Schizosaccharomyces pombe: one gene and its partner. Changing the gene in region 2 together with the main gene of any one other region gives a genetic interaction. Each region holds a gene or a part of one and is shown on either strand. Other genes may lie near its edges.

Region 1 (7,997 bases), on a different chromosome or scaffold from region 2:
AACTTAAAAACATCAAAACACCCCATATTAATACATTTAACCAGTTCCGGTAATCTTTTTACCAAGCCAAGTACTTCTAAGCTTCATGACTCGGAATACGTAAAACAACAAAAGCACCGCAAAGATATTGAAGAACACATAACCAACAAAGATACCCAAATTTCTCCAGCGATGAGTATAACGCATACTAAACCGCTCCAAAAACTGGTCAGCGGTTTGATATGGACAGTAACTGCATGAGGTTGTAGCATTAGGATTTAAGAGGTTTCCAGCAGCTGTGTTATTAGTTAAGAAAGCACTCATATATTCACCGCATGTTTGACCGCTAGGAGGGTTGATAGTAAGCATCTCATGAGACTTGCATTCAACTGGAAGTCCATGCACCAAATCAGAAAGTAATCCTTCGATCAAATAGGTAAACGGAGTCAACGAATGCATCCAATGCCAAAATCCGACCAAATTACTATTAGGCTGCAGAACACCGTTAAATGTAATCACGAATGTGAATAACAAACTGTTGACAACGGACGCTGTTTGAGCATTAGGGCACGCACTGGCGACAGCTTGGCCAAAAGTTGAGAAGTACATTTGGAAGAACATATAAAGCAACCAAGCGTAACCAGTTTTGTCACCAGGATGATGAATATGCTTATAAAACTTGATTGGATAAAACCAACAAAGGAAGAAAAGCGTGCCAAACACCAGGTTAAATGGAATTTCTACTATAATGGCTGAAAATACGAATGCAACCCAACTGTAAATATTCGAAGGCTTTTCTCTAACTTCAAAGACGTTACGCAACTCAATAAATTTTGGTTGAAGACCATTAATCAAAGGAACTGCAAGAACGGTTGCCATAAACACAGCGAAAAGCTTGTTCTGAATATTCTGTACACCGAGACCTTGATTATAAAATGTAAATCCAATAAATAAACCAGCGAAAATATCCAGTGCTAATTTAGACATCAATATAGAGGGCTCTCTCCAATAAGACTGGAAATTTCTGGTCATGACCATTTTGACTTGGAACCACAGAGGCATGGCGTAAGTGCTCCTATCTTCCTTTGACAAAGTCTTTTTATCCTCACTGTTTGAGAATGAAGCGTTAATTTTGTCTAGCTCTGCACTAATGGCTTTACGTTCTTCTGAGTTATTCCAAACTTCATGCCAATCACGATTAGTAGTGGCAGTGGCACCAGCACCAATAACATCTAAAATGTATTCAGCTGGATTACCGTCGTCAGGACAATGTACTGCTCCATGAGATTCAAAGTAATTTAACAAAGTCTTAGAATGTTCTCCTATATCACCAAAGTACACTGTTTTACCACCTTTCTGTAGCAGTAACAATCTATCAAATTGATCAAACAGTACGGCACTGGGTTGATGGATTGTACAAAGAATTGCTTGACCAGCATCAGCTAATTTTCGCAAGAAACAAACAATGGACCATGCAGACTGACTATCTAGACCAGAAGTTGGCTCGTCTAAAAACAACAATAAAGCAGGCTTCGCAGCCAACTCGACACCAATGGTTGCACGCTTACGTTGTTCTACGTTCAATCCGGAGCCAGGAGTACCGATAATTGCTTCAGCATAGCTCTCCATTTCCAAAAGTTTAATGACTGATTCGACATATTCGTACTTTTCCGAAAGAGGAACGGAAGCAGGTTGACGTAGAGCAGCACTGAAACGCAACGCTTCTCTAACCGTAGATTCACCAATGTGGACATCCTGCTGTTGTACATAACCAGTGCGCCGTTGGAAAGTTGAATCCAATCCTCTACCATTAACCAACATGTCGCCAGTTACTACACCAGTGTCAACACGTTGAGCAAGTACATTTAGTAAAGTGGTTTTACCAGCACCGGATTCACCCATCAAAGCCGTCAATTTACCTGGAACAACAAAGCCTTGCACACCATTAAGTAACCGGCGATGCTCACCTTTTATTTGAATGTCGTAGTTAAGATTTCTCCAGCTGAAAATGTCATGGCCTTTTTCAATTCCTTCATATTCCTTGTTAAGCTCTTCTTCGTTGTCCGGAGACTCTTTAACAACGTCACCACCTTGAGTATCTTGACCAGTTTCTAAATCCAGCGGTTTTCCACCTTCATTGACAGCTGCTTTTACAGCGTCAGGAGCATGGCCGCGGCGAAAGACCAGATATTCACCTTTCAAATCGTTGAAATTAAGAGTTTCACTGGCGACGATGTTGACAAATACCAAGAACGCATAATATCCAATAATAATAGCCAAATTTCTCCATAATTGACGCGTCTTGTAGTTGAAACTAATATACAAGTAAGTTGAGCCGTCAACGTAATCTGTTCCAGGTTCTGCAGAGGTGACGGGACAGATTTTGTTAGCTACAGGATAATTGTCATATCCACTACCGTACGGAATCAATTGAGAGCATTCGAACTGTCGTGCCTTGAATTCATTAATCATTAAAGACTCAAAACCAAATTGCAACGGGTCGAGATAAGCAATCCAGCGGAACCACCATCCAACGTCGATATTAGGAATAGCATAACCAGTGTAAATGGCAATTGCAAGCACACCGATACCACCCAAAGCAGATGCAGATTCAACATTGGGCATAATTCCAGCTAATGATCGAAAAAAGGCAGACATACAAGTAGCACCTATGAAAAGGAACAAAAAGTAAGTCCAAAATCCGCCAGCAGTCCTCTTTAAATTTGTTAAAAAATACAACACAATTGAGAAAACCGAAATATTAATGAATCTGAAAGGTAGATCGACAATCAAGCTACTAATAACATCTGCAGCAGGATGGTACAAAGCAGAAGCTCTATGCTTAGCAATGATGGGTCGTTGGGAAAACATATTAGCGATTTCAGAAAGACTCTGAAGTGCGCAAAACAGAATAGAGAAGAAAAGAACACCACCACGTGAGAATACATCAACGGTGTTTAATTTCATATCGTAGAAAATAGAACCGATAATAAGAGATTGGAAAAGGAAAGCAAAAGCCATTGAACCAATATATGCAGGATCATTGATATATCTCTCCCATGACCTAGCTAAACAATACCACAACTGTTGACTAAAAGTCACAGTATACGGAGAGGTATCCTTAACACGTTTACTCTTTTCCGCTACCGCACTTTGACGATAGAGCTCATGCTTGGTAGTGGCAGAGATATCGCTTCCAAAGTTGTCTTTTTCGGGGGCTTCAGAAGAAGCAGGAGTAGTCTCGGTCCACCGTTTGTCATAGCTTTCCATTTCGGCCATAAGGTCAGCATATACAGAACTATTGCGCCACATTTGTTCAAACTCATCAGGGGTTCTGGGAACGCGATTTTCGAAACCCTTTCTAGGAAACCTAGCCTTCGGGTCAGAAATAGCAGTGAGGAAGTCAGGAGTTGTTTCACGAGGATGACAGTCAAACCCCATATCTAAGAAGTATTGCTTGGCTTTGTCAGCTGGTCCATAATAAATTTGCCTACCGGCATAAAGTACACAAATTCGATCGAAAAGTTTGTAAATCTTTTCCGAAGCTTGGTATGCAGTAACGAAGGATGTCATTTTAAGTTCATTGGCACAAGTGCGAAGGACATTGACGAACTCGAAAGCCGTACTAGAGTCCAAACCACGAGTACTATTATCCCAGCAAGCGATAGTTGGACGAGTAGCAAAACCTTCACTAATAGTTACACGCTTACGTTCACCACCAGAGACACCACGTACGAAATCATTACCTACCTTGGTATTGAAAGTGTGTGTCAAGCCAAATGCGGTAGCAATTAAATGCCTCTCACGACTCACATATTCTTGACGGGTGAGGTTGCAAGGACGGTTGTTTGGGGTACGGCATTTAGCCGCAAAATCAAGGGTTTCAGCGGTAGTCAAAGATGGGAAATGGACATCGTTTTCACCACTGTATAAAAGATCACCGGGGAAAAACTTTTTCATGTCGGCCTTGTCAATACCGTCATAATGAGTGGTTCCCTCGACACGCTTGTAGTGAACAGTATCGCTAGTAACTGAACGCAAGAAAGTGGAACATCCAGAACCTGGTTGTCCCAAAACCATCACCAGTTCACCAGCATTGGCAAGAGCATGACAATGACTTAAAATGGCTTTTTCCACCACTTGTTTTTCAGTGATAGCTCGATAAGGTTGTAAAAAAATATCAGGAAATGTTTTCAAAAATTCATATCCAGAACCAACGCCATAAACACTATGGTCGCGCATGCAGACACCACTACTACGAGTGATGATATCGTCTCGTTGTAAAGAATCTTTGTATGCTCTTAAATAATGCTTCAAGTTGAAGTTTTCCCCTAGTTCAAAGGGATCACCGGCCAAACGGTCGACCGATGAATCATCAGATGAGGAAGAATCCGAATTCGATGAGGATTCTGGGGAGGGTTCGTTTGATGAAGATGGGACGTAACTTTGATTACCTTTTGAACGGTATTCCTCATTAGTGTGTGATGCCTTCTCATTGGATGAAGGATTAGAAGAATCTAAAGACTCGTCAACATTCGAAGAAGAATCCTCGAAATGATCAGAGGAATTAGAAATACGCGTAACCTCGGTGGTATGATTTAAAGTACTGCCTAAGGCCTGACCGTGAGTAGTATCCGAATTTTGATTCATTTCGTAATGTAAAAAGGAATATAAAAGGGAAACAAATCAAAATAGAACAGGATAGGAAAAAAGAAAGTAGAAAAAACCGGAAATGATGTTTTATATTAGTAATTGAACGATTCAAAAGAAAAAATTTTGAAAACACCACGATACAATTGAAACAAGTTGAACTCTATAAATCGAGCTGAAAAAAAAAAGCAGATCGACGTCCAACGATTTAAAAAAAACGAGAAATGAAAAGTTTAATAAAATAAACGACAAAATTACCAAAACGTAAGAAGAATTAGAACGCTATTTCACAAGACAGTAAACTTCAAGTTGTGAAAATAATAAGAAAAACGCAAACGAAAGTACGTGAATTGAACGAAAACGCTAGGGAAAACGACCAACAACAAGTTTAAAAAAAAAGCGAAAGCGAATCGCAACCAGAAAGACTTTCAAACAAAATTAGTGAGTGATGATGAAGTAAGCAACCGAGCTCACTGTACACTGAAGAGAAAAGTTTTATTGTTTAACAAGTGGGTGAAGAAAATAATTTAAAATTAGGAGAGGAACGAATGGGGAATCGAACAGTACTTTTTAAGCTTGGCTTAAAAAGCAGTAAGATTACTAAAGGAAGAAGATAAAAAAATGAAGGATCTCCTTTGGAAAGTTCAAATAGATACTATAACAAATATAGATAAATAGATATGTATACGGTTGTATGTATAAAAAATATTTATCTATCTATATATATTTTATAATATATAGAAAGAAGGCTTCTTTTTTATTAGAGTGAATTTTCCCAAACGCAATAGGGGAAAAAAAATTTCGTTCTTGTCTGCCTGTGAGATTGCTCGTAATACGAATCGCCAATTCGTGTTGATTCAGACTCCTACTGAAAAAGTGAAAGACGACTGGTCAATAATACGAGTAAATGAAAGTTTTATAATAGGAGCAGGGATGAAAACCTAGCACCACAGGTATGCTTATGACAAGAAGGGAAGAGAAGGGGCAAATAGGAAGAAGAAAGAAGCAACGCCAATTTTTTAGAAGAGGAACTAGTTTCAAAGATAAGAAAAGCAAAATTTCCTGAAAAACAATGGCTTTTTGCAGGCCACGTTTCAAAAGAAGAAAGAGAATCCAATAAGTTTCCGCAAGAGGAAAGAAATGTATCTAGAAGACAGGTAGGAAGAGGGAAATGGAAATGCAAGGGAAACGGGAGAAAAGGTAAGAAAGCTAAAGCTTCCTGAACTCCAACAAAAGCTTGAAAACCAAACAAAAAGGAACTAAATCGAGATAACGGTCTCTACGAACTCAATAAAAACGACGTTTCGTTGCGCTTCAAAGGATAAACCAGAAAGCAAGTTGGTTATCGAGAAAGTAGGGAGCAATTTCTTCGTTCTTTAATATGAACTGCCAAACGCTAGGAAGATGATGTGAAAAAAATGGTGGCCGCTGACTCGCTTTAGTAAACAATTTCGTTCGGCGCTTTGACTCTCCGGAGTGATGTCATAGAAAAGCGATCGACTAAACACCGAGGAGCAAGCAAGCGATAAATTTGCCTTGTATAATAGTATGACTAAGACAACTCGATAATAAGAGACGCAACAAGAAAGAGAGGGTTTAGAGACGAAATGAGATGAAAAACCGATAAAAATGAGTGTAATATGAGAGAAAGAACAAAAAAAATTTCAATGAATTAAAAGCGAGATTCTCTTGAATCAAAAAGATTGAGAAAAGAGTCCAAAATCCCTTTTATAAAGTGTTTAACCTCAGAAAAAGCCCAAATTTTCTCGAAATTTCCCCCGACTTTAGCATAGTTTTTATTATTTTACAAAGTTCTTTTGTTTGTTCATAATTTCAGAGATTGTTTTGCAAACCAACAAAGACCCGAATCGTCCATCTGGTACGAGCGCTCATCTTTATCTTTCTTTTGTTTACATGTCAAAGGGAAATACAAAAGTGAGTGAAAAGTTTCTCTATTTTCATTCAAACTTCCTACTTCTTGGTCTATTTTTTATTCAAATGACTTGATGAATTTGAATATTGGTTTAAAACCTGACAAATCCTACCTTTTTTCCATTTAACTACGCGTTCAACGTTTCCTCTCCTGCGCTACTTTTAGCTATAGACACTTGCTCTCTCACTCTCTCAGTAATGTAAATTTAACGACAAATAGCGTTTTCGTAAACCTCTTTAGTAGCGTTTCCTAGCAGCGAAGCACTCAAACATAGTCGGGATCGTCCAAGTTCCGAAATTACCGCTGCGCGGTCAACTACAGCATTTGCTGTTATCACGATACAGCGATACGCAAGAGGCTAATTTCTAAATTCCGATGCCCGATGTCCGAGCACCTCGCGTTTGAGAAGTGTCGCACATTTGGCATCAAATGCAGCTCTTGCAGATCTGATTAGTAAGAAATGAGTAAGCGCAAAGAATAACGAGGAAAAGAGAATGTGTTGAATGGAATAATGAGGAATAAAGGAGTGCGATCGGGAAGATTACGAAGGAGAGTAGATATACTCAAATTTGCAAGGATAAAGGATAAGGATTACGAATAGAGATGATTACTGAAGAATTTGTGAGCAATTGTTTTTTTTTTAATTTATCTGATTAAATTGGAATGGATGTCCAGTATAGAATATGTTCATGCACTCTCTCTGCACTTTGCAAGATGAATTGCATTGTAACGATCGAGTGCGCTATGTAATATTACGCTGCGCTACTGTTTTATTCCCATAAAGACTTGAAAAGGTAAATAGCCAAACTGACTTTAAAGTTGGTTTTGACTTTTTCTCCTTTCTAGCATAAATACTGCTGCACATTGGATCAGTTGTTAGTAAGTAGAAGATTGAGTAGCTAGAAATTGTAGAGAGCGAAATATTCTCTTGACCGATTACATTCCCACTGTCTCCCGTTTTTGTTTTGCCTACTTTGTACTGCGTCTTCATCGTTTGTCCGACTGTGTGTGGGCGCCATGTTTCTAGCTAGTGTGCCCAGTACGAGAAGTTTCTATTACTGAGCGCATGTCGAAATTACTGGGCAAATTTGACACTTTGAGAGCAGCTCGATCGCATCGCTCTCAAAGTACTAAAAAATTGTCCGTTTCGATGCTGCGAAAAGTTGGACATCATAGTGCGAAGACCATCGTAAACTTGCCTATCATGTGTTAATAACATGGTCCAACATGTTGATGAAGCAATCCTACCAAATCGGCTACAAATACTATGGCACGAAATACGTGAATGCAATATGGCTCATCTCTTTACCTCTCTCTATAGGTAAATATGTAAATACTTAAGGCAAATTAAATTCTTTTTTCATCCACTTAAGCATTTTAACGTGTCATTTCGCACTGCTTTGTATTTTATTAATATTTTATTAAACAAAATGCG
Region 2 (5,336 bases):
TGTAATTGTTTGTGAACGATTCCTCGGATTTGATTCTTCGGAAACCAGCTTGGCTTATATGAATCTTTCTCTATATGAATTCTCTCAAAAAAATGAAATGCAGGCAGTGATGCATATGCAGCATGCACTAAAGCTGTGGTATTTGGTTTTTGGACCAGATCATCCTAATACTATTAACTCATTTACTAATCTTTCTCTTATGTTACATGGCTCTGAAAAATTCATTCAGAGTCAGAAGTGTTTGCAAATTGCAGTCGATCTATCAGACAAAATTTTCGGCAAAACTACACCTACTGCTTCTCTGTATTTACAGCTGGCTCAACTAATGGTTCTTAACAAGGACAGTCGTAGCGCATTGCATGCAGTGCGCGTGGCCTACGACATATTAAAGGAAACCTTAGGGCCAGACCACCAAAATACGAAAGAAGCCGAGCATTGGCTCTCCGAATTTACTGCACTAGCTGTCAATCAAGAAAGACAATCTCGGACTTAAAATTATCACATGCATATAAAAGTCCTTTAAAAAGCATGCTCACAATTAGTGAGCTATAAAAGCATTAGGGCATTCTTCATAATTGTTTGCCAATTTAGAAAATTTGTCCAAAGGACTGATAATGACTTCGTACAGAAACGGACCATCCAAATAATAAATAAAATAACTATTAAGGTGTAAAAATCTGTAAACAAAAACAAAACAAAAGGATTATCATATCATGCGCATCTAGACAACGACGTCTATTTAATAAAACATAATTTAGGTTAATTATAGACCGTTCCCATAAAAACTACAATCCAAACCCATATCATCAAAAACATTAGGATTGTAAACATTAGCAGCAGCAAAATTTAGATCTAACTGATCCTTAAACGGGAACATTGACATTGTTTGATCTAACACGGGAGTTATATTTGCATGTAGCTCATTTTCCTGAACAGAATCAAACTTATACTGGTCATTTGTGTTAGATGAATTTTGGAGGTTTTGATGCATTTGTAAGATGCTGTTATTAAGAGAGTTCAGATACCCGCTGTTATCAAATATAGAGGAGGGAGAATTGCTTTTAACACTTGTATCTGAATGGTTGCTGGATATACGTGGTGGTACATGGCTTTGCGATTTTAGGGAAACATCCGCAATATCAGGCATGCCAGAATTAGTAACATCTTCGTTCGTAGCTAAGTTGCTGCTAAAATTGATTGCTATTTGCTTAGCCTTTTGCATAGCTGCCTGAGCAGTCGAGATCATACTTTCTAAAGCATCCATAACGACATTCAAACGAACAAAACCATGTGTTTCAAAACTTATTAAACGATTTTTTACGGAAATTAAACAATTCAAATCTTCAGAACATATAGAAGCAAGAGGCCGCTTCAATATACTGATAAAGATGATAATCGAAGATGTAAAGGCATGATACATAATGATTTTCATTATCAATGGCTGTAGATCAACCGATTCCACGAAAAGATTTGTAATGGAGCGAGCTGCCGCAATGCATAAAGCTTGAGAATCTGTTATAGAGCCAGTCCCTCTATGGACACAATTCACCTGAAGATTTTTTGTAAGAGAATGACGATGAATAAGGATTAAACATGAATAATAAATAGCAGATGTTAAAATCAGATTGCTCGAGCAAAATTTGGGAATTTTAAAACGATTCCGAGGTTGCATACAGTCGGGAAGACTGTTATACCAGTTGTTTAGCAAAAGGTCAAACTCAAGTATTTTTTCCATAACTTGAGAAGAATTAGACTTCATGCCACTCACTGAGTATAGTTCCTTTAGGACTTGGCCAACAATTCGCGTTAACTGCACCTCGGCTTCCAAAAAGTTAAAAGTACCCAAAGGATCTCCTTCGGGTGGCTTAAGTCCATAATAGCAATAAATAGAGTAAAATGGCACCATTTGATCAATGTCATCGTCCTGAAAAGCAACGGGTTTTCCTGTCATCATCGAGGATACTCTATCCAAATAATATATATACCAAAACAAACGAGCTTTCTCTTCCGCATCCTCCTTTCCAATAGACCACATTGCACTGTTTCGATGAAGACCTAGCGTTTGTGCAACTCTAACGACTACACCAACGTTCAACCAGACCGCATTTGGTTTGGAAACTGCGCAATAATAGACTGAAGTAAGAAAATTGAAGACCAGAGTACGGAAGCTCATATCTTTAGTAACTTCAATACTGATTCCGAGAGTGTTTTTAAATAGAGCATTAGCTCGGGAAACTTGCTCTTCAGTATCCGCTATAGCAAGACAACCAAGAGATAAAACAACAACGTATGAAGCATAATTAACCAGATCAATGGAACCATCGGGTTTTTTGAAACAATTTGGGGAACCAAATTTTTGGTAAAAATTTTCTCTTGTAAAAACAGGAAATAAAGGATTGTATGATTTGAAGTAGGCATCTATGTATATATTGGCAATCTCTGAAGAAGGTAATTCGGCTTTTGAGCCATCGAAACTCTCATCAGGATCAAACAAACAACCCGATTTAGCCATGGACAGATGCTCTAAAACTTTATCGGATTCAACTCCTGATGCAAATTTTGCAGCATGTTGAATAATGGAAAAGGTAGATGAAGAGCCGAAATATTTTTGAGAACCGATCGGAGTAGTGACGAGAGTCCCCATTTTTTCATTCAAAAACGCTATATCGTCGGTGGAGTCATCGGAAGAAGTTTCGCCTTTCGTACAGTTTAGATCATGATAGTTTTTGGGAGTAGAGGAGGGATGTATAATATCAGGCTGCTGGTCGTAGTTCGGAATTACGGATCTCAGAGTAGACTCCATTTGTTCTAATCTAGAAACGAGCGACTTAATGTACATTTGTCTCTGACCTGTTCTTCTTTTAGGTCTAGCTGTAAATACGCATGGGATTCCGTGACTAACGCAATTCGAACATGCAGGTTGCTTTCCATCACAGCGAATCTTCCTTTTTCTACACATGTCACAAGCTCTAGGAATTCTTTTTGGTTTCCCCATGTTATCCCCGTGGCGAGGTGAGTCTTCCTCCGGCGATGCTGATTTCAAATTTTCCATCCGGTAACAATTTTTTCAATGTACAAGTGCAACGACAGTCGATTAGCAAATATTAAGATATGCCAAAGATATTAAAAAATAGAATAAAAAAGCCAATCACTTAGCAATACCTACAATATAGGACGTTCGTTTTCTGAGTAGTTAAAATGTGCGGGTCCAAAAAATGTTCCTTAAAAAGTATTTTCAGTAAGCGATTTATTATGAAATAAAGCTTTCATTTATAAATTAAGCACCAATTATTCGTTTTTAACAATTCCGATAAAAATTTTTAACCAAGTTGTGTTAGTCACGTTGATGCGTGTAGATTACTATATCAATCCGATTTTACGAAACTTATCGTGCTGAGCAATTGGGAATAAATGTAGAAAAAATACAGAAGCTCATTAATTTTGATGAAAGTCGTTCAAATTTTGATTTAATTTCATTATTAAATACTGAAATTAAATAATCAAAATAGTTTTTGCGAACAAAAACTAAGTTATACAGGTAGGTACATTTACCACATACCTGAGGGGTAGCATTAGAAAAACAGAACGAAAAGTTACATAAATTAAAAATAAAGCTTTTTGTTTTCTTTGGAAACGGATCAAAATTGAATTAAGACGGATCGGAGGAAGTCCGAAGTCCGACTTCTCAAAAAACATCTCATCCCTACATTGCAAACATAAAAGTTCGACACTAGATTTCAGAAAGCTTTTGCGAAAAAGAAAATTAAAAAAAAGCTTTTTCAATTTAATTTTGCTTTCATAAACTCGCCAAACTCCAAAAGCTATAAATTATAAGTTCCAACTTACCAATGACTGTAAATCAGTGAGGTGAAATAAATTGCTTTTTCTTTTAATGGTCTGTCGTTCATTCATAACACCGATTTAAATGAACAAAAGAAAAAAAAATCCTTTTGTTCTATTTGTCGTACAAAGTAATTCATGCCCAGTCTAAAATAAAGTGAAGTTCGTAGAGAAAAAGAAATGTGGGACAAGCAAGACTATCCTTTGTTAAACCAAATAGAAATTTAAAAGTTCCTCAAGAATATGCCATTTAACCTCCAAGATCGGATATCCAGGTTAAAGAGATCTGAAAACCATGACCAATCGAACCCGGTATAAATTAGTATGAGTTAACGCGATATGCACCACATGAGTTCAACGTTTCTAGTTTTCATTATTCGAAAAAATATGAAATTCTTCCTGCTAAAACACTATACTAAATGTTCATATGTTATTATTGTTCAAAAAACAAGGCAAAAAATTTAACATAACGCTCCACAATAAAAAAAAGATTTGAAACATGTAATTCTAGAGGTTATGTGTATCCCAATCAACGTTAATGATAACACGTGTCTTGAAATGAGTATGCATTAAAACGGAAATATAATATGGATATAAGCAGACAGGAAAGTACGCACGTGAACAACCATTAAATTAATTCCTTCAAGTATTACGATTTCCTTTGGATATCTGAATCCTTCATAGACACATGCTTTCGACGCCAATCCTTAAAATATTAAAAAAAACAAAAATAAATTTTACATCAAAATACAACAAAACTTCTCTAATTTGGAACCTTTCTTTTTAGGAGGTTTTTCACTTTTTTCAGAAGGTTTTTCTTTAGGTACTGGTGTTGCACTAGCAGCTGGTTGTGTATAGTCTCTGGTTACATGAGGTGGCATTTCAGATTCGTGGACACTCAAAGAATTCTGAATTGACGGAGCAGCTGGAGGATCTGGTGACCCATCACCAAGGGCGGGTACAGAAGCCGAAGGCAAAGGTGAGCTTCTTGAGTAAGTAGGTCGTTTCGGTGAAACTTGAGGTGTAGGAGTTAAATTGGCGTAGTTAGGTTGGTTCAAATTCACAGTGGAATCATTGGCATCCGATTGAGGAATATCTGACTCCTGCTCATCTTCAGTATTGGTGGAAGTAAAACGTGGAAATGGACTCCCAGTATTCGGTTGAGGTTGAAAAGAACGCATTGATTGAGAAATGGCTTCCGAAGATGCTGTACTAGCGTTGTCTTCAGAATGAGTGTCTACATCATATACAATAGGAGAATCACTCCTCGAAATGCGATTCGGTGTTGATTGCGTCTGCGCGCCAACCTGGAAAGGTCGATCTGCATCATTGTAGGAAGATTGAAAAGACGATTTACGAGATTCAGAATCGGTTTCTGCAACCTTCTTGGGATTTTGAGAAGGCGAATAAGTAACGGCGGCTTTGAGAGACTCATATTCAACTGAAGAAGCAGGTACGGGAGACGACATATCTGGCACAGATACAGGTCGAGCCTT

What was found.
Region 1: mutations in prt1 (region 2) and bfr1 impair growth when combined (synthetic growth defect), as found in Schizosaccharomyces pombe (one study listed by BioGRID).

Annotation. Positions count from the first base shown.
Region 1 is NC_003421.2:709,379-717,375, forward strand, and holds the start of bfr1 (plasma membrane brefeldin A efflux transporter Bfr1), read right to left. Parts: upstream 6,041-7,997; 5' UTR 4,630-6,040; coding exon 37-4,629; 3' UTR 1-36. UniProt on the Schizosaccharomyces pombe protein: Confers hyper-resistance to brefeldin A (BFA), an inhibitor of intracellular protein transport. Could serve as an efflux pump of various antibiotics.
Region 2 is NC_003423.3:794,299-799,634, reverse strand, and holds prt1 (transcription factor), read right to left. Parts: upstream 3,337-5,336; 5' UTR 3,053-3,336; coding exon 764-3,052; 3' UTR 641-763; downstream 1-640. Other genes in the region: Tea1-anchoring protein Mod5, read right to left, coding at 4,578-5,336.